6 linked regions of the Mus musculus genome follow. The protein of the gene in region 5 interacts with the protein of the main gene of each other region in a pairwise test. Links are inferred from orthologs where the notes say so. Each region holds a gene or a part of one and is shown on either strand. Other genes may lie near its edges.

Region 1 (4,222 bases), on a different chromosome or scaffold from region 5:
ACTCAGGCCGACTTGTCCCACTCCCTTCTGAGTGTTGGTGGTGGGGTGGGGGGTGGGGAGAGCGGCGATCCAGAGGCCCTTCTGAGAGGCAGCCTTCCTCCCTCATCCTCTCAAGTTTTCCACACCCCATTATTCGGGATTGCCTCGATGAAGACCTGACTCGAGTGACACTGTCTGGCCTCTGAGTGAGGTTAATCCTTCAGGCCCTGTCCTCAGCTCAGTTCCACTCCCCAACCAAAGCCTGCCAAGTCCCCAGTTCACCAGGTCAGGGCTGCCTGTTCCAACCTTGGCCACCTAGATGAGAAGGGGCCAGGCAGGGACCTTGTTTGAGATCCTGAGGGGACTACGGGGATAGCCCCGGGAGACTGAGGGCGAATGCCAAAGAAAGGGCAAACACTTGTAGCTCCAGCACAGAGCAACGTTGTTTCTGGCTTTGGGTTACCCGCGTGCCTCCGAGGCCGCTCCTGTCCTTTCTGCTGTCTCGCTGTCTTTCCACTAGGGTTTCACCCACGTAAAAATCAGCCTCGGAGAGGCTGATTCACCGCACTTTCAGCTCTAGATAGGGACGTCTCAGACCCACCCCCTCCCCACACAGTCAGCCTTCCCCCAACCCCGGAGGCAACGCGGCAAGCCGCGGGGTGGGGGTGGGGGGTGGTGGGGGGCGCTTGGCGTCTTTCTCCCCCTCCTTGTGGCCCAGGGGGCCCAGGGAAGCGTAGCCACCGAGAAAGCGCCTTAATAAAAGAGTCGTGTCAAGTGATTGGCTGTGACCTCTGCCCTTCTAGCCTCGAGCCGGGGGCTCCTGCTTAACCCTTCATTGTCCGTCCAGGGCTTGGAGAGGAATGAATGAGTTGCCTTGTGCTCACTTCAGGCGTCCCCAGGCACTACTTGAACCCAGAGCTGAGTCAAGGGGTGGAGGACAGAGCAGCACCTCCCTGTCACCCAAAAGAACGCTTGAATTCCGAGCTGTTTCATTGAGTCCATTTCGACTGCCGGTTGCCGGGGGGGGGGGGGGGGGACAATTCTTGCGCTAGTGGGGTCTCCGGATGCCTGGAGCTGAGCTGTCCAGAGCACCAAATCTGGTAGAGAACTACTAGGGAACTGGTGAAACGGGACCTGTGTTCGCCCTGCAGGCCGAGAGAGCATCCGTGACCCAGGCGAGAGCCGTGCCCTGTTCTTGCCAGAGGCACAAACCCCGTTCTTGCCTTCTGACGCTTCTCGGTCCGCCTACTGATGCGGGAGAAGGGTATCTTGGCTCTTGGAGAACCCTGGACCCACCCACATTTCTAGAAACAGGAGGGATTCCGGAAAGGATGGGGGTGAAGTGGTCACAGAGCAGGGCCCCCAGGTGGTGTGGAAGGCGGGGCGGGGGCGGGGCCGCCTCATGCACCAGCTGGGTATAAAAGCCTAGAGCTCTGGCGCCCAGCGGCTGTGCAATTGTCCTCCACGCGGCTTGGTCCCCAGGTGGAAGGATCTGTTCTGCAAAGGAGACAGCAAAGTATCTTTAGCCTAAAGGACTCAGCGTCCAGTGTTCTAGTTGAAGATCTAAAGAGAAAGCCACCTTGCTGCCACTATGCCTAACTTTTCTGGCAACTGGAAGATCATCCGATCGGAAAACTTTGAGGAAATGCTAAAAGCTCTGGGTAAGGAGGTTTTCGTGAGTTGGGAAGGGAGGACAAGAAGGGCGCTGGGGTCTTTAGAGCAGAGGCCGAATAAACGGAAGGGGGCCGAATCAGGGAATGTACCTGGGAGCCTGCATCCTAGGAAAGGGGCGTGCCGGATACCCTGGGTCCTGGGGCACCAGGCCCAAGACTCTTAAATCCTACTTTCTGAGGCTGGGCGCCCACCAGTGCCAGCTTCAACGGTGACTCAGAGCCTGTGAAGCAAGTAGAAACCAGAAGCACGAGGTTAGTCTCAGGAGGGGTTGGCTAGCCTCGGCGCCTGGACCTGCTGACCAGGGCACCTGGCTCTGAGCTTTAAGAATCCAGAATCCAGGCAGGGAGCCCCTAGGAGACATTCCAAGATCTTTCCGCGTACCCTAACAGTAACCCAATCCAGGCGACAGGTCCATTATCCTCAACACTTGGCTCCGCCCACCAGGTGGTCCACCACTTCAGCTCCCCGACCCTCCCCCACACCTTGCACTTCCCACTCCAGTCTCCCCACCCCACCCCACCCCACCCCACCCCCACCTGTGAGACATATTTTCCTACAGCAACCGGCTCCCAAGCCCTAAAATCGCTCTGGACAATTACCACTTTCTTAGATTTCAACAAATGTCCTCGTGTGAAACACCAATCCCCATTTCCGAAAGTCTAGGATTGCCTCCCTCCTCGCCACAGACCAGCTGCACCCTGCGCAACTGGGCTGTTAGCCAAGGGTGGGAACACAGGAACCACCCAGACTTTCCCTACCCACCTTCTACTACCCTCTAGGATGCGACTGAGCTAGAAGGTATAGGAAAGGAGAGACATCTGCGGAGAGATGCAGTTAACCGCCCCAGGGAGTGGAAACTACCCCAGAGCCTAAGGGTCAGCATGCCTTCCATTTCTGCACTGGAGAGGAGCCCTGTGGTGGGGAGCAGGGGATACCCTTGAGGAGCTAGGGACTGTATAAGAGTGAGTCTGGAGCTAAAAAGAATGTTGCGAGGGCAGTAGGGCCTCTGTTCTCATCTTTCCTCGCTGTTCATTCTCTTTGTGTCAGCTAACCGCAATGATCCTTAGAGTCATACCCAGTTTTCTTGCTCCGCCCTTGCGAAATTAAAGATCAGAGAATAGAAATTTTCAGAAAAATCTATTGCTGTCTCCTCCCTCATTCGCTCTAAATTCTGGCCCCTCTCTGCAGTGGATGTGGGAGCCTGGCATCACCCCCACCCCCACCCCGGGTTCCAGCTGCAGAGAAAGGCCCAATCCTACAGTCTGCCTTCAGAATGTTTGTCCTCCCCGCAGGGTCTCTCTGAGCCACGCGACTTGCTAGGGGGTAGATTGCAAACAGACCCGTTGTTACACAAACTGCCTGTGTCAGCCAAGGTCAGCTGAGCCAGGACCCCAGCTCTGCAGACTGAGGGAGGCGGGGTTCTCCTTAACACAGCCTCCAGAGACGCCACAGGGTCTGCGTTCAGGGTCCATGTTGTGGGAGAGTTCAGGGCTCATCATGATAATCAGGGCAAACACAGCAGGTCTTTCGGTTAGGACTGGGTGAGTCCACTTTGGGGCTAAATGAAGTGTCAGTTTTCTTCTCAGGAACCCAGAGCTATGGAATGCATGAGTATTTGTGTGTATATATGGGGGTGGCGGGGAGGGGGGTTGCACGGTGGCAGTGGCTTGTCCCCTGTAGCACCTTGAAGGGCCAGTTCTTCACCTCATCAGGCTTGGAAAGGTGGGGGTGGATCCTCCTGTTGGTGGCAGAGGGTTGCTCTCCTTCATTTACAGAGCCCTCTGTAAATGAAATGGGGGCAGGGAAGGGAAAGTATATGAATGAGGACACAGAGACTCTAAATACACAGAAGCTGAGCTGGATGGCCCTTGGATGATTCTTGGAGCTAGGGACATCAGAGGGGAGGCAAAACACTCCCATCTCTTCCCCTTCCCTTCCCTTCTTTCTTTCTTCCTTTCTTTCTCTCTTTCTTTCTTTCTTCTTTTTCCTTTTTTCTTTTTTTTGGTTTTTCGACACAGGGTTTCTCTGTATAGTCCTGGCTGTCCTGGAACTCACTCTGTAGACCAGGCTGGCCTCGAACTCAGAAATCCGCCTGCCTCTGCCTCCCAAGTGCTGAGATTAAAGGCGTGTGCCACCATGCCCAGCTCCCTTCCCTCCTTTCAAGACAGCAGAATTTTCCTTTGAAAGAGACCTGGAAATATTACAGAGAGCAGTCTGGCACAGGAAACTTTGTCCAAACCTAGTTTCGTTTGGCTTTTCTTTTTTTATTTGCATATATTACCTGCATGTAATAATGGGTTTCACTATGTTCTGGCTTGTTTTTTGTTTTTCTCATGGTTTTTTGAGTCAGGGTTTCTCTGTGTAGTTCTGGCTGTTCTGGAATGCACTCTATAGAGCAGGTTGGTGAGTTTGAACTCAGAGATCCATCCCCCCTGCCTCTGCCTCCCAAAAAAGGGTGTACACCACCATGCCCTGCTATGTTGCGGCTCTTTCATCCATTGTACTTGCTTTTATTTAAAAAAAAAAGTTTCTAGAAACTATGAATGTGCACTTGGCCTTGTGTGTCCCC
Region 2 (3,500 bases), on a different chromosome or scaffold from region 5:
TGTGTCTGAAGACAGCTACAGTGTACTCATATAAATAAAAATAAATGAGTCTTTGAAAGAAAGAAAAAAAGTTCCCTCCCAGTGTTAAAGAGAGTAAGAGAGCGAGAGAAAGACAGAGCTCGGATGAGACCATATGCTCTAAACTGCTCCTTTTTTACGAGCAAGAGAAAAAAAAAAAAAAAAAAGCCCAGAAACTCTGTTGTTTCTCCAAGGTCACACAACTGGTCCTTGAGGATCTTGCCTTCCAAGTACCTACATTGTTCCTCTCATACCCTCTTCTCCTGCACACACCCGCCCTTTCGCTGTAGAAAACCGGGTTGTCTCCATGATAAGGCATCGGCGCTAACATGGCAGCTGGGTCCCCAGGAGCCGCAGTGTAAGGAGCCGTCCTGGCCCTTTTGTAGTGGAGGAAGGGTTCCTGTAAGTTTTGGGCCGTGACTCTGGACTCGCTTTCTTGCCCCCGCAGTCATCCTCACAGATGAGGAGGTGCAGCGTAAGCGAGAGATGATCATGAAGAGGAAGGAGGAAGAGGCCTTGAAGGACAGTCTGAGGCCCAAGCTGTCTGAGGAGCAACAGCACATTATCGCCATCCTGCTCGATGCCCACCACAAGACCTACGACCCCACCTATGCCGACTTCCGGGACTTCCGGGTACGTCTGCCAGCCTGTGGCTTGAACCAGGCTAGTGGAGAATCAGGTATAGCCCAGGCACGGGGAGCAGGGCTAGAAGGTTGGGACCCAGGGAAGGTTCGGAGGCTGTGCTGCCCACGGCGAGCCCTTCCTCTCTCCCTGCAGACCTTTGCCCTCAGAGGCAGGAGAGGGGCCCTCAAATAGGGACCTCTTTGCCAAAGACAACCCATCTTTGCCTTCCAGCCTCCAATTCGTGCAGACGTAAGTACAGGGAGCTATTCTCCAAGGCCCACACTCAGCTTCTCCGGAGACTCCTCCTCAAACTCTGATCTGTACACCCCCTCACTGGGTAAGGAGCACGACTATCAAGAAAACAGGCTTGTGGGTGTTCGGGCCCACTCGCCCTGAGGCTATAGGGGAAGTGATGGAAATCTCCCATTTCCATACTGTGTGTGGCACAGGGTCCTCCATACAGTTCCTCTTTCACAGAAAGGGGGTTGGCTGTGCGGTATGCATGCTGGGAAGAGACCAAGCTGAGGTTCTGGCTGTATAGATGGGCCTTCTTGAGTCACGCTCAGCCTCTGAGCCAGACCCTACCCTTGACTTCCTCTCTGGAGGTCAATATTCAATGTTTTGCTCCTGGACTCTTTGGAGGGTGAAATTGATGGAGGGAGGTGACCTATGATGTGGGAAGGGCCTGAACACTGGGGAACTAAACATCACGGCTTTGGACAACTTGTCGCCTGCTACTCCTGAGAGCATGGCACACTGTGCTTTCGGCCCCCTTATACATTCATGTCTGTCATCCTGCATCATCCGTCCTTCCTCGTTCTGCCCTGCCCCTCCCTTCTACCTCTCAACCAGCCCTAGTGTCCTCCTCTTGGGGCCTGGAAGAAGGTGAGGGTGGAACCCCCACTCTGGGTGATTATAGCCTTCAGATACTAGACCTCTAGACTCATGTACACACATGTGCGTGAGTGTGTGTGCATGGGCACACAAGCACACACACACACACTAAAATTTTTAAAACTTAAAACTAAAGTTTTAGGAGACTGAAGAGTATTGTGACATATAGTAACAAGTGAAAATTCCCTGCTGTCGGATATCTAGATTGGCTCCTAGTCTTTTAATTTTTCTCTTGGGTAAATATTTATTCCATTTTTTTTCTTATAATGAATGCATGGAACTGGGATTACTCTACACTTAACTGTGAATCATCATCTCTCTTTCTCTCTTCCCCTCTCTGTCTGTCTCTGTCTCTCTGTCTCTCTCTCTGTCTCTCTCTGTCTCTCTCTCTGTCTCTCTCTCTCTGTCTCTCTCTCTCTGTCTCTCTCTCTCTGTCTCTCTCTCTGTCTCTCTCTGTCTTTCTCTCTCTCTCTCTCTCTCTCTCTCTCTCTCTCTCTCTCTGTTTCTCTCTCCTGTGTGTGTGTTTGGGACCCCTCAACCCATGGGATGAAAAGGTCCCTTTTGTCATAATCAAGTAAGTACAAGAATATCTGCATTTTTCCAACTAGACATTGGAACCAAATATAAACTTGATGCTAGTATTTGTGAAGATTGAAGCACCAAAGAAACTCTTTGTGGGTTTGTGGGTGCGCATTCATGTGCATGGTTGTGTGAGTGTGGGGTGGAGCATACAATCACTGCACCCAGGTGCTAGAGGCAGGAGGCAGATCCCGGTGAGTTCAAGGCCACCCTAGTTTACATAGTGAGTTCCAGGTCAGCCAGGGATATAAATTAAGACTCTGTCTAAAAACACAAAACAACAACAACAAAGGCTTTAACAGTCCACAGTCAGAGTCCAGTCCATCCATCCCTCTCATCTCCACCTCTCGAGAACTAAGGTTAGAGGCATACACGACCACACCCAGCAACTAGAGGCTTTTCACACCAAGTTTCAAATTGCTTTTTAGATTACCTGCACAACTATCCGTCTTCAAGAGCATCCATCACTGCAGGAGTTTTTGATGCTTTAATCTTTACAAATGCCAGCATGGAGTTTATATTTACTTCCAGGGTATAGTTGGCAAAATGCAGATATCCTCTACCTTGTAGTTCCTTGATCATGATAAAGGGGAGTGTGTTGCTCCACGGGTGGAAAGGTCCCAAACACATTTTAACACTGAGAATAATAGGAAGTCCATACTTTGCAAAGTTATAGCTAAGAAGGATATTTTTCCTGAGTATCTCTGGTTCCTTGAATTTACTGCCTCAAACAGCTAAAGAGATGGGGAGAGACCCAGAGGGAGTCCGGAGAGGAACAGACCCTGGGAAAGGGCAGTCACCATTGGATCCTCTAAGGCACACAAGGTTCTCACAGGAGGGCCCTGCCTGGGTGTCCTTAAATAGCTCTCTGCCTCTTTCCTCCTCATCCCCAGACATGATGGAACCGGCCAGCTTTTCCACGATGGATCTGAATGAAGAAGGCTCCGATGACCCCTCTGTGACCCTGGACCTGTCTCCGCTCTCCATGCTGCCCCACCTGGCTGATCTTGTCAGTTACAGCATCCAAAAGGTCATCGGCTTTGCCAAGATGATCCCTGGCTTCAGGTAAGAAGCTCTGGCAGGGGGGGGGGGGCTGTCAGAATCCCCTACGGGCCTGGAAGGTGCTTGGCTCATTTCTACTGCTTCCTCCACACACAGCCTCAGGCCTGCCCCAGAGTGCCCAACGGGAACCCCTGGACAAGGCCAGGATATACGTTCTTACATGTAGCTGCCCACAGTTGTGTTGAGAGCCAGTCCTGACAGGAGCTCTACTGCTCGCTTCCCGGAGGATGAAATGAAATCCCACCAGGGTCTCATGGCCACCTAAGATCTTTTTATGACATCAGAACCAGCCCAAGGACTCCCAGCTCCTCGAACGAAGCTGG
Region 3 (4,274 bases), on a different chromosome or scaffold from region 5:
GGTCCTCTGGCTTCGGGCCTTATACACCTCAATTAGCAGGTCCTTCACGTACTGGATCTCCCGCTCCACTGACTCAGCCCTCTCCCTCAGCTCCCGGTTCCGGGCCTCCAGCCCCTGGCACTCGCCCTCCAGGGCCTCGCCCTCTGCCCGCTTCCTCTGGCGGTACCTGAGAGCAGCTGACTTATTCTGGTCTCTCTTCTTTTGCTTGCGGTCCCCTCGTGTGCTGGCAGGACTAGGATAAGGGGCTGGGCGGGCGGGTGAAGGCAGAGGGGCCAGAGGAGGAGGCTGCTGTGGGACAGGCAGGGTTGACAAGCCTGAATCCCCCGGCCCGGCCTCACTGCGGCAGTAAACAGCCAGCAGGTCCAAGGTATCCAGGGTAGGAGGCTGAGGGAGGTCAAAGGTGGGCAAGGGCAAGGGCAGGGGCAGAGAGGGTGCTGCTGCTGGTGGTGGAGGTGGTGGTGGGGAGGGCGGTGGGAGAAGTGGGGCATCAAGGAAGAAGTCTTCCATCTGTTCCAGCTCCTTCTTGAGTAGGGATGCCATGGCTTCCAGGTCAGGGGGGGCCGGGGAGGGTGGGGGGAGAGTGCCTGGGGGCAGAGGGGCCTCCAGAGGAAGGAGAGCTGTGAAGTCCACCCGCTCAGTCATCCAATCAGAGAAGCCGTCACCTGAGGATGGAGGGGGACATAAAAGTCCCTGAGGACTGTGCTTTATCCACTTCGGTGTTCACTCATGTCCCATTCATTAAATGTGACAAGTGACCAGCCAGCCAACCATCAAATCTATAGGCCCATCAATAGACCAATAAGTCAGGGAAGAAACCAATCAAGCAATCAACCAACCAGCTAGCTAGTTTACCCTTCAAGCTACTAGCCAATGAACTAACCAACCAACCAACCAATCAACCAGTCAGCCAGCCATAGGATTTACTAGCTAACCAGCCAACCAGGCAATCATACCACTCAGCAGCCAACCAACCAACAAATTCATTAATCTATGAACAAGCCAGTCAGTCAATCAGCCAACCATAGTTTACAATCAACAAACAGACCCACTAACAATGAATGAGGCAACCAACCAACCAATCAGCCAATCATATAGTTCAGTAGCCAACCAAGTAACCCAGAAAGTAAGCAGTGAACCAGTGAACCAGAGTTCACCAGCCAACAATCAACTAAACCACCATGTAACCAATGACCCAGCCAACCAGCCAATCACCCATCAGTTCACCAGGCCACCTGCCAATGAACTAATCAACTCACCAACCAATCAGTGAACAAGCCAATCAATGATTCAAATCAATCAGCCAACCACTCAGTGAAGCAGTCACCCAACTAACGGTCCACCCAACAAAGGTCTGCTCCCACGTCTGTAATCCTGCTCTGTGGCTGCTTGACTGCACCCCATACCTATGTCTTCTCTCCTTTCCTTGCTTGTTCAGTTATTATTGGTGATAGAGACTTGTGTAGACTAGGCTGGCCTTGGACCTGCTTTGTAGTCCGTGGCTGAGGACAACCTTAAACATCTGACTCTCCCAGAGTGCTAGGACTATTCACCACTCTCTCTCCTCCCTTTCCTGCACGTGTGTGTGTGTGTGTGTGTGTGTGTGTGTGTGTGTATGACTCGCTCCATCTTTATTTGTTCTCCTTTTCCATTTCTGAGATGTTTGAGAATTACGTTCTTGCTATGCTGCCTAGGCTGGCCTGACCTCAAGAGGCTGAGAAGCCCCTTGAACAGGGGGAGCTGAGGGCATGTGCCACCAGGCGCAGTCTGGGACAACCATCTGTTACATAGTCAAAAGAGACTGTGCCCCAGGATCTCTGAGATGGAGCCCCCTTCCACCTTATCATGGCTCCTTCTCCCCATCCCTCAGCCCTCAGTTCAGATGTCATCTACTTAGAGGGGCTGACTTCTCAACTATGTCTTTCATCACTGTCCACTAAGCTTTGGTCTCCCACTTCTGTCTCCTGATGCACCCATGAGCTTAGGGATCCCTTGCTCGGAACCCTGCAGACCTAGAACAGTGTTGGGCACACTGCAGGCCCTCAGTACTGATCTTGTGAAGGAATAAATTCTTCCTTTTCTGTCCACCCCCACCCCCAGCTCAACCCACCTCTCTTCTTAACCTGTTCTTACCTGCCAGGGGCTCTCCCCCCCCTGGAAGCCCGCCCTCCAGGGCACCCCCAAGGACCTCATAGGGGCCCAGGGGGGCAGGGGCCAGGGGGAGTTTCCCATAGTCTACGAGCCAGCCCAGCCCGCTAGCTGGGAGCAGGGCCCTGTCCAGCTCCAGTCCCAGGGTCGCCAGGAGTGACATGGCTGTGACACAGGCACAGGGCAGCGACGGCAATGGAGGCTGCACCAACAATTGGGAGGCAGCGTGGAAGATTGTTCAGCTGGGTGAAGACAGGCACCAAGGCGAAGGTGGAGGACCTGTGAGGACAAGGGGACGTGGGTGGGATTGAGTCAAAGCGGCTTGACCCACAGGCTACACAGTTTCCTTCTTTCCGAAAATTTCAGCGCTCCACACATTCCCAGGGACATTATTGGAAACTCCCCTGCCCCATCTCCTCCCTCAACACAGAAACCTAGTGTTTTCCCAGGGGAATTACCTCTAGTCCCTCCTACCCACCTCATCTTATTCCTCTTCATAAAAATTTCAATCCCAAGGGAATTTCCTTCTAGCCGTGCCCCTTCCGCATCATTAGACTATACCCCCTTTAATCCACAGGGGTTCCCAGAATAATTCTGCATGCCTGGGCCCTTCATCAGTGTCACACACACAGATCCCGCTCTTCCCTTAAAAATTTTGGTGACTTCTAAAGATTCTACGGGAAGCTCCGCCCACCCTTCTGTCTGTCACAGTCAGTTCCCGTCCCCCACTAGCAAGTCCCTAGAGGCCCCGCCCCTGTAGTGCTAGTGCTAACTCTTTCTTAAAGGTGTTCCTAAAGCCTTTCCTGTCAGTTTAAGCCAGTCCCCGCCCCAGCAGGTGTCTGATTGGAGGGAAGTTGGGCCTGAGTCGGAGCCTCAAGCAAAACCCCACCCTTCCTCGCTGCTGGCTCGACTAGCGACGAGGCGCAAGCTCAGTCCCAGGACCCGATCCATTGTTACGCCACTACCCTCCTGGGGGACCAGTGCGCGTGTTTAGCCAATGACCGGCCGCCCGCCGTAGTTCAGGCCGGGGGTGGAGGGGTGGGGGGGTGGGGGAATAAGACAATGCGCATGCGCAACAGGTTGTGGGGTTGTCTCCTTGGAGGAAAAGGGGCAGAGGGTCTGTGAATTAGCGCGCAGGCGCAACGGCGCGCGAGCCGACCTTAAAAGCCCCCAAATTCTCCGGAAGCACGCCCTCCTCCTCCCCGCCCCTCGCAACTCGAGCCTAGTGCGCTTGCTCAGCGGATGCGCCGGCCGCCAGCTTCCCTCTTCTGCGCCTGCGCGACCGTGGTTCCTCACTTCGTCTCCCCCGCCCCCACCACGAGGCTGACCCGTGAAGCCCCGCGAGCTCTGAAAGGGCGGGAAAGGCAGTTGGCGAGGGAGGGGCGAGCGGTTACTCACTCCATGGCGGCGAAAAGGCGAGGAGGCAACGGCGGCGGCGGCCTCGGCTGAAGAGACGGTGTGAGCGGAGAGTGAAGGCGCGGTGAGCGCGGAGACGGGGGCGGGGGACACGACGGGGTCGCGGCTACAGAGCCATTGCGCGGGCGGAGGCGGCGTGGCGGGAGCGTTAAGGGAGACTGTGCTGAGAGGGTTGAAAATGAGGCGGCCCCGGGGCCTGGGGACAAATATACCGGGGGCGGCGCAGCGCGGGCTTGCCTGGATCCCTCCGCGCCCCGCCCTCGCGCGGCCCCGACGGGGCGGTGGCGACCCCGGGCCCGCCATGTCGCCCTGACCCTCCACTCTCTGCTTCAGGCTGGGGGCCCGGGCTCGGTCTCCTGAATCGGTCAGATCCGATGTGTCTTTCACACCCGAAACCAGCTCGTCTCGTTCTCTCTCCCTGCTTCACGAATTTGCCACCCGAGACCTCGTGGGTTAAGCCCATCGCCGAATGGCGCAAGCTAGCTTAGGCTTCATAGAGGAGTTCCAGGCAGCAACCGCGAGATAACGCTTCCCAAGTACTTGTAGAGCGCTGTATACGCGCACAGATATATCAGCTATGGAAAGTAGGCCACGAAGTCCTAACCACGAGACTCTTCAACATATTTTTGTTTGTTTTGTTTTAACATTTATTGTGGTGGTCAGAGGAGAGCTAGCAGGAGTTGGTTCTCTGACCATGTGAGTCCCAGGGACGG
Region 4 (4,197 bases), on a different chromosome or scaffold from region 5:
GGGGTGCTCTCACCAGGCTCCATCTTCACCATCTTCAAAGCCACCAGGTCCTTAGACACCTTGTCGCGAGCCTTGTAAAGGGGAAGTTGGTCATCAGGCAGACTCCATAGCTTGCCATCCTCAGCATCTCTGAACCAAGGCCAAGGCCTGGCATTCTCTTACACTCCTGCTTGCCAGCCTCTCCCCAACTATCCCAGGGTTGTGGTGGAGGAGACAGAAGGGCTTTCTCACCTTGAATACTTCTCCATAAGTTCCACCACCCAGTCGTTGCAGTAGATCATAGTGTTCTCGAGGGTCCTTATTAAAAATGTCGGGGTCCACAAGGGCCATTCCTGGAGGCCGGGGCTGGGCCAGTGCCCAGGGGGCCAACAGGGCCTCAGGGTTCAAGCTTTGGTATTACCTTCTGTCTCCACACAAGTCCTGGGCCCGCCTTGACTCTGTGGGCTGTGGCCTTCCCCCTCCCCACTCTCGCTTCCTGCCCCAGCTGCAGGGCTGTGCAGAGGGCTGCACAGAGGGCTCCACCCCCGTCCCCTGGGTTCTGAGAGTTTGATCGCCTTGGGACCCATGGGACTCCCCTTTACCCACTGAAGGACACTATGTAAATAAGATGCAAAAGTTCTTAAATGCAACCTGGGGCTGACCTAGCACCCTCTCCCCAACACTCTATTTTGGGAGGAGTCATAGGTTACGGTTGAACCTCTGCTGGGTTCTTGAAGATCTGGAATCAAGCCAGAGGTTGCAGGTCTGCACAAAGCTGGCTAGGTTTCACAGAAGACCTGTTTACTCGTGACACATGCATGTGACTTAAGTGACAGCTGAGCTCAGGGCACCTGCCCGCATGGCACATGTCTGTGCAACGCTTCAAACGTGTAGGGAATCTGTGGCAGACGTGGAACACTTGTTAGTAGCCCCTACGCAGAGCCGATGGAGACTACAGGTGTCTTTTGCCTTCCCGGCCTCCTAACAGCACTGTAGCAGTACGGAACCGAGTGGGGACCAGCGAGGAAGTGAAGATACATACAAGATGCTGTCTCAGGCACCCAAGTCGGAGACAAGAAGGGCTTCAGAGAGCATCTCCCACCCGACTAAACTCAAAGAAAAGGAAACAGCAACCCTTCACGGGGCTAAACGCTTAAGGCTACGCATGCGTAGAGAAAATAAAGTCTCCTTTCCCCGTACAACTCCAGCGCACGCGCGTCAGAAGCTTAAGTACTAAGTTTGCGCGGCCCGGGAAAAGCTTAGCCCGCCTCCTGGCGCCTGCGTAGTAAGGCAGACTAAACCTTTTCTCACGCTATTGGTCTCTTTTAAGTGAGCTCATTGCGCATGCGCAAGTTACAACTGCTGGAAGGAAATCACGTGGTAGACAAAAAAAAAAAAAAAAAAAAACAACCGGCGCTGGTGCTGAAAGCGCCTTTCCCTTTGCCTTCCTTGTAGGAGCTGGAGGGAGGGTGTGACGCAGGTTCCGCTTCCTACACCTCTCTTCCGGTCCTCTAGTGCTAAGCACCGTGCCTGGTGTTCGACTCCAGCTGAGGCTGCCGAAGGCAACAGTGATCATGGCGATGTTTGAGCAGATGAGAGCGAACGTGGGCAAGTTGCTCAAGGGTATCGACAGGTCTGAATTCCGCTGAAGGGCGCTCTCTGGCCAAGCGGGGTGGAGAAGACGGGGAGCCAGCCAGGGGTGGCCAGGGCTCCACGCTCCTCCAGAGATGGAGTTTCTCCAAGTTTCTCTCCGTCCCTCAACTTTACCTTTTCTGCTGCCACAGACTCCCGGTGTCTTTTAGTCTCTTCCTTCTCTGTCCTTGTGGACCATCCTACATAGTGTTTTCTGATGTCTATTTGGCCAGTGGGGACCGGAGGTGATGGAAACGGGAACCGGTCCTGCGTTCCTGGACTTAGGTTCCCATTCCATCCTGGCGACAACCCCATTCAGCAGATAGTGACAATAAGGAGCGATCAGGGCCTGGTCAGGTCAAGCCACGTATTGAGATAGGCAGGAGAGGATGGAACTGGGTCAGAACGGGATCGAAGAGAAGGTGTTCAGGAAAACATACGGGCTGCAGAGACTGACTGAGGTTGGAGGCATCCTAGACATGACCAGGGGCTCAAGTAGGGCTAGCTAGAGGCCCATGTTAGGAAAAACATTTACTGGATGTTGTACAGTTAATTGATCAGCTATCTGGGTAGTTCCAGTGGGTGGGACTAACTTATTTATTTTAAGATCGAATGAATGTAATAAAGCTTCCTACAGATTTATTTAAAAAGAAAATAGCAAAGTGAGGAATATCCCATGGCCAGAATAAAAGCTGTAGGAAGAAGAGAGTGATTTCAGGTTAACAAATTACAGTGGTCCCTAAGGACTAGCCTCTGTTCTTCTCTTTGTTTACTCATGTCTGTCTGTGTAGTTATCTCCCTATCTTCCCCCCCCCTTTTTTTGTTTGTTTGTTTGTTTGTTTTTTGAGACAGGGTTTCTCTGTGTAGCCCTGGCTGTCCTGGAACTCACTCTGTAGACTAGGCTGGTCTCGAACTCAGAAATCCGCCTGCCTCTGCCTCCCAAGTGCTGGGACTAAAGGCGTGCGCCACCACTGCTCGGCTCCCTTTTTCCTTTTGAGACAGGTTTTCACTATTAATTGCAGACTAGCTTCAAACTTGCAATCCTCCTGTCCTGCCTCAGCCTCCTAGGTGCTGGGATGAAAGGCATGTAACCACTGTGCCAGGCTGTTCACCCATCTTGATGCTCTTCCAGGTACAATCCTGAGAACTTGGCTACCCTGGAGCGATATGTGGAGACACAAGCCAAAGAGAATGCCTATGATCTGGAGGCCAACCTGGCCGTCCTGAAACTGTGAGTGTCTGTCCCCACCCTCATACGAACAGCTGCCTAGCAGGAAGCCACTCTGGAGAGGGAACCTGGTGCAGAGGGGCCTGGGGCAAGCTGCAAGATGGGACTTCTCTTCGGTGTTTTAGAAGGTCAGATTAGGAGTTTTTGTTTTGTTTTTGTCTTTTTTATTTTATTTTATTTATTTATTTATTTATTTATTTATTATATGTAAGTACATTCAGACACTCCAGAAGAGGGCATCAGATTTTGTTAAGGATGGTTGTGAGCCACCACGTGGTTGCTGGGATTTGAACTCAGGACCTTTGGAAGAGCAGTCGGTGCTCTTAACCACTGAGCCATCTCACCAGCCCTGTTTTTGTCTTTAATCCATTCCAAAATCATACAAGATGGTCAATAAACAGTTGTGTTGCTAGACAGATTATTGTAAATGAAAATTCATTTTGTTAGTTTCACTGCCTCTTGGCTCACATGCTTTGCCCCATCAACCCCCCAGCTTAGGTAATCACTGTTGAGCCCTTATGGCCTAGCCTTGGGTCCCTTGAGTCAGCTTAGGTCAGGCCTGCTTTCTTTTTTTTTTTTTTTTTTTTTTTAAACAGTAGCTGGGCTTTTTTTTTTTTTTTTTTTAAAGATTTATTTATTATATGTAAGTACACTGTAGCTGACTTCAGACAATCCAGACGAGGGCGTCAGATCTTGTTACAGATGGCTGTGAGCCACCATGTGGTTGCTGGGATTTGAACTCCAGACCTTTAGAAGAGCAGTCGGGTGCTCTTACCCACTGAGCCATCTCACCAGCCCAGGCCTGCTTTCTTTTGAGCTCCGCTGTAATCACATAGCGCAAGCTTTTCTACACCAGAGATCTTCCTCTCGGCCCTGGGTTGGTGGCAGCCTTTTTCCTTGTTTCTTTTGCCCATATTCATGAGTGTGTGTGTGTGTGTGTGTGTGTGTGTGTGTGTGTGTGTGTGTGTAGGGGCTGTGTGTGCACACATGCGTGTGGAGCCTTGAGGTTGATAGCAGGCACCAGTCATTCTTCCACCTTATTCAGAGTCAAGGCCTCATTAAGCCCAGAATCCACCAACACAGCTTGTCTTGCTAACCAGCTTGCTCTTGGGATCCTCTGTTCACACCTCAGAGACCGAGTTCGAGACAGGCTGGCATGCCTACCTGGCATAAACATTTATTTTATTCTTTTTAATTCGTTTTGTTTTATGAGTGTGAGTTTTAAGTGTGGAGGTCCAAGGACAACTCGGAGCAGTCAATCTCGCTTTCCACCATTTTGTTTTGTTAAGTCCTGCCACTTACGATGTAGACCAGGGTAGCTTTGAGACTAACGGCGTGGGGCACCATGTCCAGCACTT
Region 5 (4,247 bases):
TCCTTTTTTCCCTTGATTTTTGTTTTTGAGACATAGTCTCATGATATTAGCTCCTCCTGACCTAGAACTCTTATTTAGACTAGGCTGGCTTTGAACTCAAAGAAATCTGCTTGCCTCTGTCTTCAAAGTGCTGGGATTAAAGGGGTGCTCTGTCATGCCTGTCTTCCTTCCTTCCTTCCTTCCTTCCTTCCTTCCTTCCTTCCTTGTTATTTGAGTCATCTGACATGGGTCTGGCTGGCCTGGAATTCTCCATGGGCTATTATCATTTGGTTTGCTTGGTTTTGTGATAAAATCTTATATAGCCCAGGCTGCTCCTGAACTCATTAGGAAGCAGACAGTGACCTTAATCTTCTGATCGTTTCTGGGTTCTGCAGTGCTGGGGATTGAGCCCTGGGCTCTGAGCATGCTAAGCAAGAGCTCTACCACCTGAGATATATCTGCAGCCCACCCCCTGCCACCGTGTGTGTGTGTGTGTGTGTGTGTGTGTGTGTGTGTGTGTGTGTGGAGAGAGAGAGAGAGAGAGAGAGAGAGACTCTAGGCAGGCCTTGAATTGTCTGTATAGTGGATAGTGGATCCTGGTGTTAAGCCAACACTTCCCTGGGTCTGAGATTACTGGCTTGCTCCACCACAGCCAGCACCAAATGGCTTTTTATATGCTGATTTTGACCAACACTGCTCACACCTCCGTTGGTGCAACGCAGTGTCCCATTCAGCAGACCTGAGAAACTGCATTTCTTCTTTTGCTTTTTATTTTCGTTGTGTATGTGCATGAAGGTGTGTGCGCACATGCTACATACAGCCTTGGTGTAGAAGTCAGAGGACAGCTTATGGGAGTTGCTCTCTTCTCTTCCATCATGTGGGTCCCAGGGATCACACTCAGGTTGCCAGACTTGATGCCAGGATAGTTTACCCTCTGAGCCATTGAATCGGACAGAAACTACATGCTCCCAGATGCTGCTGCAGATCTGCGCAATTCGTTAAAGTAGACGAGATTCTAAGTCAAGTTTCCCGACGGACCAACAATGAGATCTTTGCAGCTACTATTGTGCCTCAGTATCATGGTCTGCAAAATAAAGCCCAACTCGAGGCCATTCCTAGAAGCCACTTTAGGGTAGGAGTGACCCAACTATGTACAAAGTTATGACCACATTCCCTAGAGCAATGAAATATGACGTATACACGAAGGAATAACTTTTGGCGCCTAGTTCTTTCCTGGGTGGCTAGAATCGCGACGGGGCCCATTGATGGGGAAGAGGGCACCCTTCCAGAAAGTTCTCTCTACCCTCTTGGTCAGAAGGGACCCGAGGGCCCGGAAGCGTGCGGGCCGGAGCCCAGCGGACCAATGGGGCTGCGGGGAGGGAGGGAGGGTATAGCGCCCGCCAGCCCTTTCCGACTGCGGCCCCGCCCCTTAGAACGTTGTGACGTAGGAGCATTCCACGGTTGCTACATCGTCGCGAGGGGCGGGGCGCCTGTCAGGGAAGCGGTGCGCGCGGGTGGCGGGCGGGCTGGGGCTTCTCCGCACAGTGCCAGCGCCAGCGCCAGACCCGCCCGCACCCCGCGCTCTCCCTCACGCGCGTCGCTTCTCCTAGGACTCGCTAACCCGCACTCTTGCTCTCACCCGTGAGCCATCGCAGGATGGAGCTGCTGTGTTGCGAGGGCACCCGGCACGCGCCCCGGGCCGGGCCCGACCCGCGGCTGCTTGGGGACCAGCGTGTCCTGCAGAGTTTACTCCGCCTGGAGGAGCGCTACGTGCCGCGAGCCTCCTACTTCCAGTGCGTGCAAAAGGAGATCAAGCCGCACATGCGGAAGATGCTGGCATACTGGATGCTGGAGGTAAGGCCCGAACGGGTCCCCTCTCCTCACCCCACCCCCACCCCCGGCTCTGGGACAAATTGAACTTTCCCTGTCGGATCTTTGCGATCCCGACCACAATCTGCAAGATGCTTTGGCGGCCCAGACTACTGGGGCCTGGCCTTTTCACACAGGCGCCCTAAGCAGCTGCCTGCGTTCTGTCCCTTTCCTTTCCCCAATCCTGATCGGCTTCTTCTGTGATTTCCAGTCACTTGGCACTGTAACTAAACTTCACTTTGGGTCGGGAAAGCGGGCTAAGGGCCACTCTTTCCCCAGTGGCTTTCCTCGGTGTCTCCTGCTTCCTTCTTCACCCGGTGCTCTCTGGAGGGCGCGTTTGGAAAACCCTGGCCTCGGCCGCCTTAGCCCCAGAACTGGTTCCTGTGTCTATCGCGGGGTTCTGGCGGGGGAAACTGGTGGGTGGGGGTGGCGCAGGCTCGGTTCCGGTCCACAGGGAAATGAAAAGTGCGGGAGACCGCGGCAGGAGTTCCCTCCCTTCCCCCTGGGAGTGTGTGTGCAGTGGGTGGCGGTAATGAGGGTAAGGTCCCAATTCTCTCTAGGTGACCCTTCCGTCCCCCTTCCGCTCGCCGTGGGGGAGGGGAGTCTGGAATCCTTCGTGAGCATGGGCTTCTCTTTTACACCCCCTACTCCGGGGTGGGGAAGAGACCATGCAGAGGAAGTGGGGGGGTCACCTTGGGGAGGGCACATCCTCCTCGGTTATTGATACTTGTCGCTCTAAGTTTATCCCTTCTCGGTTTATTTTTTGCTTCGCATTCCACTCTCCCTCCACCCCCCACCCCCACTTCTCCACGCTGCCGTGTTTCACTTGGTCCTTCCCTAGCAATGACTCGTGCGCCCTCCCTCAGGTGTGTGAGGAGCAGCGCTGCGAGGAGGATGTCTTCCCTCTGGCTATGAACTACCTGGATCGCTACCTGTCCTGCGTCCCCACCCGAAAGGCGCAATTGCAGCTTCTAGGTACCGTCTGCCTGTTGCTGGCCTCCAAGCTGCGCGAAACCACGCCCCTGACTATTGAGAAGCTTTGCATCTATACGGACCAGGCTGTGGCTCCATGGCAGTTGCGGGTGCGTGCGGAATCCTCCCCCCCCCCCCCCGCCCCTCCACCAAACATACGATCGCCCTATGTACTAGTAAAAGAAAAGCCAAGCTCACTCCCTCACCCACCAACCCTCCCTTCGCCCCTGGCTGGTATTTTGGGACAAAGGCCTTGTAGTGTGGTCGTGGTGCTTCGGTTGCAAGCTTAAAACTAAATGAATCCCTTTCCTCTGGCCGCAGTGGGGTTCCACTCCTAACTCGCCCCCCCCCCCCCCAATAGCAACAAGTCCAATTGCGGGTCTATACACCAGTACTTTGCCTCTGGGTTTACACAGCCACCGTGAGTTATTTATTGGCAGCAGCAGGGCATGTCTGCACACCCCCACCGGAGTGGAATGTGCTTCACGTGGGGGAGGGGGCTGCCTTGCATGAGCCTTTATCCCCGTGTGGACTTTGTGATGGAAAAGCCTCCCGGAGCTGATTAAAGCCAGGCCCTGCTCGCTGGAAGGAAGCGCTGAGGTGTTTTCATCCCTTTCCCTCCTATCCCCGAAGACACCGCTCTTTTCTAAACCCTCCCTTTCTTGTCTTCCTTCTGAAAAACTCGAGCAGCTGCTCTGGGCCCGTGGAAGAGTTTCTCCCTTTGCTGCTCAGCCAAAGGCCAGAGCCGAGACAGACAGGGAGCTGAGCTGCAGCTGCTTCCGATGTGATAATGATGCCGGTCCCCTGGCCCTCCCACTCAGACCAAGGGCTTTCATAACCCTGTGGGGAGCTGCTGTCACTCCTGTGGTTTGGGAAGTGGCTCCTTGGGGCCTCTTGCTGGGAACTTGGGCTGGGCTCCTCCAGGCGGGGCAAAAAAAAAAAAAAAAAAAAAAAAAAATCGGTTGGGTTCTGCCCTGCCCCGGAGGAGTCTAGGGAGGAGGTGGATCTGCTTGGATCTGGAAGGGAGCTTGAACGTCATCTCCCACAGGGTCTGGGGGAGAGGGTGGGTGAGCTGGCACCTCCCTCCACCTTGTTCTGTGGCTGGCCAAGCCTTCTCTGACCCTGAGAGGAGTCTCTGGGCCCCATCTCCTAGGGAGGAGGGCAGCAGGCAGACTCCTGTGATTGGCTGGCTGGGAAGCTAGGGTACTGGGGCCCCTGACTGCTGTGAGTCGGGGAACTGGATTCCTCTTCCTGTCAAGCAGCTCTCACGGATGGGAGGCCTGAGTTGGGAATCCGGGAGGCCCCACAGCTCTTTGTGATGAATCTAGTTTCCAGAGCCAGGGAGCACGATGTTTTTGAGGGATTGAGGCTGGGAGGTAGGAGACTTACTCTTTGTGAAGAGATTAAGGGTGGTCTACATGGCTGTG
Region 6 (4,093 bases), on a different chromosome or scaffold from region 5:
AATCTCCCCAGCCCTTTTCAATCAATGTGTTTATCTCCACTAGATTCTCTTCACCACTTAAGCCCATGCAATGTGCCTTAAAAGTTTCTTTTCCGTGAGCAAATTCTTTGAAATTCCCTTCATATCTAAGCTTAGTTAGAGATTCGGTAGCTTTAACACCTCAAATCATAAATATAGGAAAGTTTCAAGCCCGGGGACAAAAGGCTGAGGTGCCTATTTAACATATCAAAGAGGACCTGGCTGCTCTGTTCTCCTGGTAGCCCTCAACCTCTACCTGTTACCATAGCCAGCCCCCTACCCAAAACTCTCCAGCTCAAGGGGTGGGCTGTGCTTTCCTATATAATCCAGACATTTTAGTTTCTAGCTCGGTGTACCTTTGGGCCTTCTAGCTGCTGCACCTGGTTCCCCTCTCTCCCCTCTCTCCCTTCACCTCCCGCGCCCCCTCCCCGCACTCTCCTCCCTCAGGTGGCTCAGGGTCATGTCCACTCTGGACTCACTCAGATGTCCCTGCTCTACGCTCTTCCTTTTATCTGTAAGAAACTTTAGCCGTATCTAGGAGCAGTTATGTGATAGCTAATATACATTTTAAGTTATTCTTGAAAACACATTCATGATTATTTGTGTGATTGAGGGTTGAGGGTTGAGGGTTTTTTATTTTGTTTTTGTTTGGTGAAGTGAGATCAATTCTTAGCTCAATATACCTTTGCCATTGATAGCGTTGACATAGGAGTGTCACTTGAGGAATCCTCTCTGTTGGATTGACCTGTGGGTCTTGCCTAGGGAGGTGGCGGCCGCGGGGGTGGCGTTGTATTAAGAAAGTAGCTGATAAAGCAACGGGGAGCTAAGTCAGTAAGCAGCGTCCTGCTTTAACCTCCGTCAATGATGAACTGTAAAGACTAAAATGAAATAAGCCCTTTCCTCTCCGAGTTGGTTACAGTCCGTGTTTATCTCAGCAACAGAGACTAGAAAGGGCAGGCAAACTATTATCTTTACTTTGGACCTTTTAGCTTTACTATCTGAGGACCTCTAGGTGAGGATGTGTGTAAAGGGCTTATATACTAAATCCTGTCGATATTTCTTGGTCTTTTTCTCTTCAAACGAGCCTTCTGAATGGTCTCACTATTGAGAGATGCTTTTTAAAACGGTAGAGGACGTGTCCATTCACCCCTAAATGATGCACAGCTCGTTTTTTGCTTTCTTCTTCCATGACTTTTGGTCTCCCTGAGATCCCGGCCGAGACTACATTTCCCAGCAGGCCGTGCTCAGACCTACGGGTGCCCGCATGGGACTGAGGAACTTTGGGGGCGGCACAGTAGCAGGACAGGCTGCTGACGGGCCGGCGCTTCGCGGTTTGAATGGCTGCGGGCCCGGGCCCTGAGCGCATCTGAAGAGCCGCGGCCTCGGGGTGCGCCATGGCATCTGGAGGCAACCAGTCGCCACCGCCTCCTCCAGCTGCTGCAGCCAGCTCGGAGGAAGAGGAGGAGGATGGCGACGCCGCGGATCGCGCGCAGCCCGCGGGGTCCCCGAGCCATCAGATCCAGCAGCGGTTCGAGGAGCTGTGCAGCCGCCTCAACATGGACGAGGCGGCGCGCGCCGAGGCCTGGAGCAGCTACCGCAGCATGAGCGAGAGCTACACGCTGGAGGTGCGTGCTCAGATCCTCCGTGGAGATCGGGGACTCGGGGTGGCCCTAGGATCACTTGGTCGTTTGCCCCGCACCATTGCCTCCCCCTGGCTTTGCGGCCGTCAGAGGAAACTCATTAAGTTTCAGGCTTGCTTACGTGTGAGAATGGCTTAGGATTTATTGTCCCCCACCCCCCGGGCAGATGAAAAGCGGGTGTAGACACACAACATTTGTTGCTGAACTTGGGCACTCTTTTTGGCTGTCATCCAGGTGTAGGCTTGTTATGTTCCGTTCTTGGGACGGGGCTTTGCAGTTGACGAAAATGGCTATTCGGGCTAGTGCCTGTCAACTCTGCAGGCACCTCCCCTGTATGGGCCAATGGGAAGTGACACGGAAGTCCGGATTGTTTTTCAGCTGCCTGTGCGTATGACCCTTTGATTTTATATATGGAAGCTTATCGAAGTAGCAGAGCAAAGAGGCCCCCGACCCGAAGGCTAAGCAAGGTGTTATTTAACTATGATATGGATGTACTTGTGCCATTCTTCTGAGTCGGTTTATTTCTATTTTTTTAAAAATCGACACACATCGAATTCCCCTCTCTCCATTTGTTACACTCACAAAAAAAAGAAACATGGCAGCTTTAGACCTGTGTCTGAGTGACTCTGGACAAGTTTTTAACCACAGTGAAACTCAGTTATGTTGTGTGAGCAGTTTTGTTACTTGTGCCCACTTCAAAGTGCTTACCTAAAGCTTAACTAAAGCAATGTGTGTATGTGTGCAGAAAATTTCCTAGACTGAAGCAGTCTGGCTGAAGAGACCGTAGCCGCCTTCCTTACCCAGTGTTTCCGATAGCCAGGCAAAGAGGAGAACTTCTGGTTTGAAGGACACAAATACTCCCAAACGAATTCTTACTTCACCTTAGAGATGACGCTGTAAATTAGCAAGAATGAGTATTATAACATAGCAGAGACTTCAAATCACAGACTAAGTCATATGAAGCCTGGTGTCACATATGCAAGTGGCATTTAACAGATGCTTAGTAAATTAGTGTGTGTGTGTGTGTGTGTGTGTGTGTGTGTGTGTGTGTGTGTGTGTGTTGGTCAGAGGACGGCTTTGGGGAGTCAGTCTATCTTTTCACCCGTGGATCACTGCAAGTCTGTTAAATCTGTTGGTCAGCTAGTGCCTTTACCTGCTCAGCCTTGCCAGCTCGACTAGTAAATCGTTTTGAAAACATAGTCACTATTTCTTGTTTGGCTGAGGCGTTCTATTTATTTGTTTGTTTATTATTTATGTCTTATTTGGATTGGTTAGTGAGGTTTTAATCTCGATTCTTAGCCCAGTTGACCCTTGCCATAGCTTCAGTTGTCAACTTGACACACCTGGGAATGGGGAGGCCTCATCTGAGGAGTCACCTCCATCAGATGGATGGTGGGCATGCCTGTGGGGCATGGAGGTGGGCATGCCTGTGGGGCATGCTCTATCATCAGATGGACGGTGGGCATGCTCTATCATCAGATGGATGGTGGGCATGCCTGTGGGGCATGCTCTTAGTTGCTAATTGATGTCGCCCACAGTGGGCTATGCTGCCCCTCCTGGTCCTGGACTGTATAAGGGAGGCCTCATTAGCTGTTTCAGCTCTTGCCTCCCAGTTCCTGCCTGGAGCTCCCAATGATAGCCTGTAACCCTTTCCTCCCCAAGTTGCTTTTAGTCATGGTGTCTATCTTAGCACATCTAGGACAGCCCTATACTGGCACGAATACTTGTTCATTTTGGAGTATTTCCTGAGCCCCTATCTCTTGCCATAGGTTTTCTAGGTACTGGGAAGAAAGCAGTGGGTGAAACCTAAAACTCCCTGATGCATGAGTTTCCGGTCAGGAATACTGGAGAATAAGTAATGTAGACCAGCAGTTGTCTGAAAACATACAGAGGAAATAAAGCACACTTGATCATTAATACTTACCATCTGCTTTAGAATTCTCTCAACTGTTTTCCTGAAATCGATTTGAAAATTTTATTTTATGCAAATAAATGCTTTGCCCACATGTATGACTATGTACCAAAATGCAGGCTTGGAACCTAAAGAGGTCAGAAGAGGGTGTCAGAGCCCCTGGATCTGGCATTATTCGGTGAAGTGCCACCACATGGGTACTGGGAACGAAAACAGAGACCTCTGGGAGAGCAGTCACTGCTCTTAACCACTGAGCCATCTCTCCAGCCCCATATTCTGAATTCTTGTAGTTTATTTAATTCTCACTGTTGTCAATGAAGAAAATGAAACCTCTGGACTTAAGTAGTTTGCCCATGGTGAGCTCTCTAATATGTGGCCAAGGCAGATCTACTTGAGTTCCATGGCCATGGACTGTGAATTAGAAATATCTCTTCTCCCCACTTCCACCCATTTTTTTTTTGTTTGTTTGTTTGGGTTTGGTTTGGGTTTTTTGGGGGGGAGCGAAGGAGGGGAGTTATATGAG

Evidence for each region.
Region 1: the proteins of Ccnd3 (region 5) and Crabp2 interact in binary tests that used the Homo sapiens proteins (3 or more experiments, as listed by UniProt). The link is inferred for Mus musculus from reciprocal best matches to the Homo sapiens genes CCND3 and CRABP2.
Region 2: the proteins of Ccnd3 (region 5) and Vdr interact in a two-hybrid assay, tested with the Homo sapiens proteins (2 studies listed by BioGRID and IntAct). The link is inferred for Mus musculus from reciprocal best matches to the Homo sapiens genes CCND3 and VDR.
Region 3: the proteins of Ccnd3 (region 5) and Atf5 interact in a two-hybrid assay, tested with the Homo sapiens proteins (2 studies listed by BioGRID and IntAct). The link is inferred for Mus musculus from reciprocal best matches to the Homo sapiens genes CCND3 and ATF5.
Region 4: the proteins of Ccnd3 (region 5) and Eif3k interact in a two-hybrid assay, tested with the Homo sapiens proteins (2 studies listed by BioGRID and IntAct). The link is inferred for Mus musculus from reciprocal best matches to the Homo sapiens genes CCND3 and EIF3K.
Region 6: the proteins of Ccnd3 (region 5) and Rbl2 interact in a two-hybrid assay, tested with the Homo sapiens proteins (2 studies listed by BioGRID). The link is inferred for Mus musculus from reciprocal best matches to the Homo sapiens genes CCND3 and RBL2.

The regions. Positions count from the first base shown.
Region 1 is NC_000069.6:87,947,271-87,951,492, forward strand, and holds the start of Crabp2 (cellular retinoic acid-binding protein 2), read left to right. Parts: upstream 1-1,422; 5' UTR 1,423-1,570; coding exon 1,571-1,640; intron 1,641-4,222. UniProt on the Homo sapiens protein: Transports retinoic acid to the nucleus. Regulates the access of retinoic acid to the nuclear retinoic acid receptors.
Region 2 is NC_000081.6:97,866,797-97,870,296, reverse strand, and holds part of Vdr (vitamin D3 receptor), read left to right. Parts: intron 1-466; coding exon 467-651; intron 652-873; coding exon 874-979; intron 980-3,008; coding exon 3,009-3,180; intron 3,181-3,500.
Region 3 is NC_000073.6:44,812,859-44,817,132, forward strand, and holds the start of Atf5 (cyclic AMP-dependent transcription factor ATF-5), read right to left. Parts: upstream 2,801-4,274; 5' UTR 2,624-2,800; intron 2,425-2,623; 5' UTR 2,309-2,424; coding exon 2,131-2,308; intron 663-2,130; coding exon 1-662.
Region 4 is NC_000073.6:28,979,089-28,983,285, reverse strand, and holds the start of Eif3k (eukaryotic translation initiation factor 3 subunit K), read left to right. Parts: upstream 1-1,397; 5' UTR 1,398-1,553; coding exon 1,554-1,612; intron 1,613-2,743; coding exon 2,744-2,842; exon of another isoform or gene 2,843-2,967; intron 2,968-4,197. Other genes in the region: Map4k1 (mitogen-activated protein kinase kinase kinase kinase 1), read right to left, coding at 14-71, 232-330. UniProt on the Homo sapiens protein: Component of the eukaryotic translation initiation factor 3 (eIF-3) complex, which is required for several steps in the initiation of protein synthesis.
Region 5 is NC_000083.6:47,592,020-47,596,266, forward strand, and holds the start of Ccnd3 (G1/S-specific cyclin-D3), read left to right. Parts: upstream 1-1,447; 5' UTR 1,448-1,635; coding exon 1,636-1,833; intron 1,834-2,276; exon of another isoform or gene 2,277-2,306; coding exon of another isoform or gene 2,307-2,360; exon of another isoform or gene 2,361-2,380; coding exon of another isoform or gene 2,381-2,386; intron 2,387-2,714; coding exon 2,715-2,930; intron 2,931-4,054; exon of another isoform or gene 4,055-4,196; intron 4,197-4,247. UniProt on the Homo sapiens protein: Regulatory component of the cyclin D3-CDK4 (DC) complex that phosphorylates and inhibits members of the retinoblastoma (RB) protein family including RB1 and regulates the cell-cycle during G(1)/S transition.
Region 6 is NC_000074.6:91,068,764-91,072,856, forward strand, and holds the start of Rbl2 (retinoblastoma-like protein 2), read left to right. Parts: upstream 1-1,293; 5' UTR 1,294-1,412; coding exon 1,413-1,643; intron 1,644-4,093. UniProt on the Homo sapiens protein: Key regulator of entry into cell division. Directly involved in heterochromatin formation by maintaining overall chromatin structure and, in particular, that of constitutive heterochromatin by stabilizing histone methylation.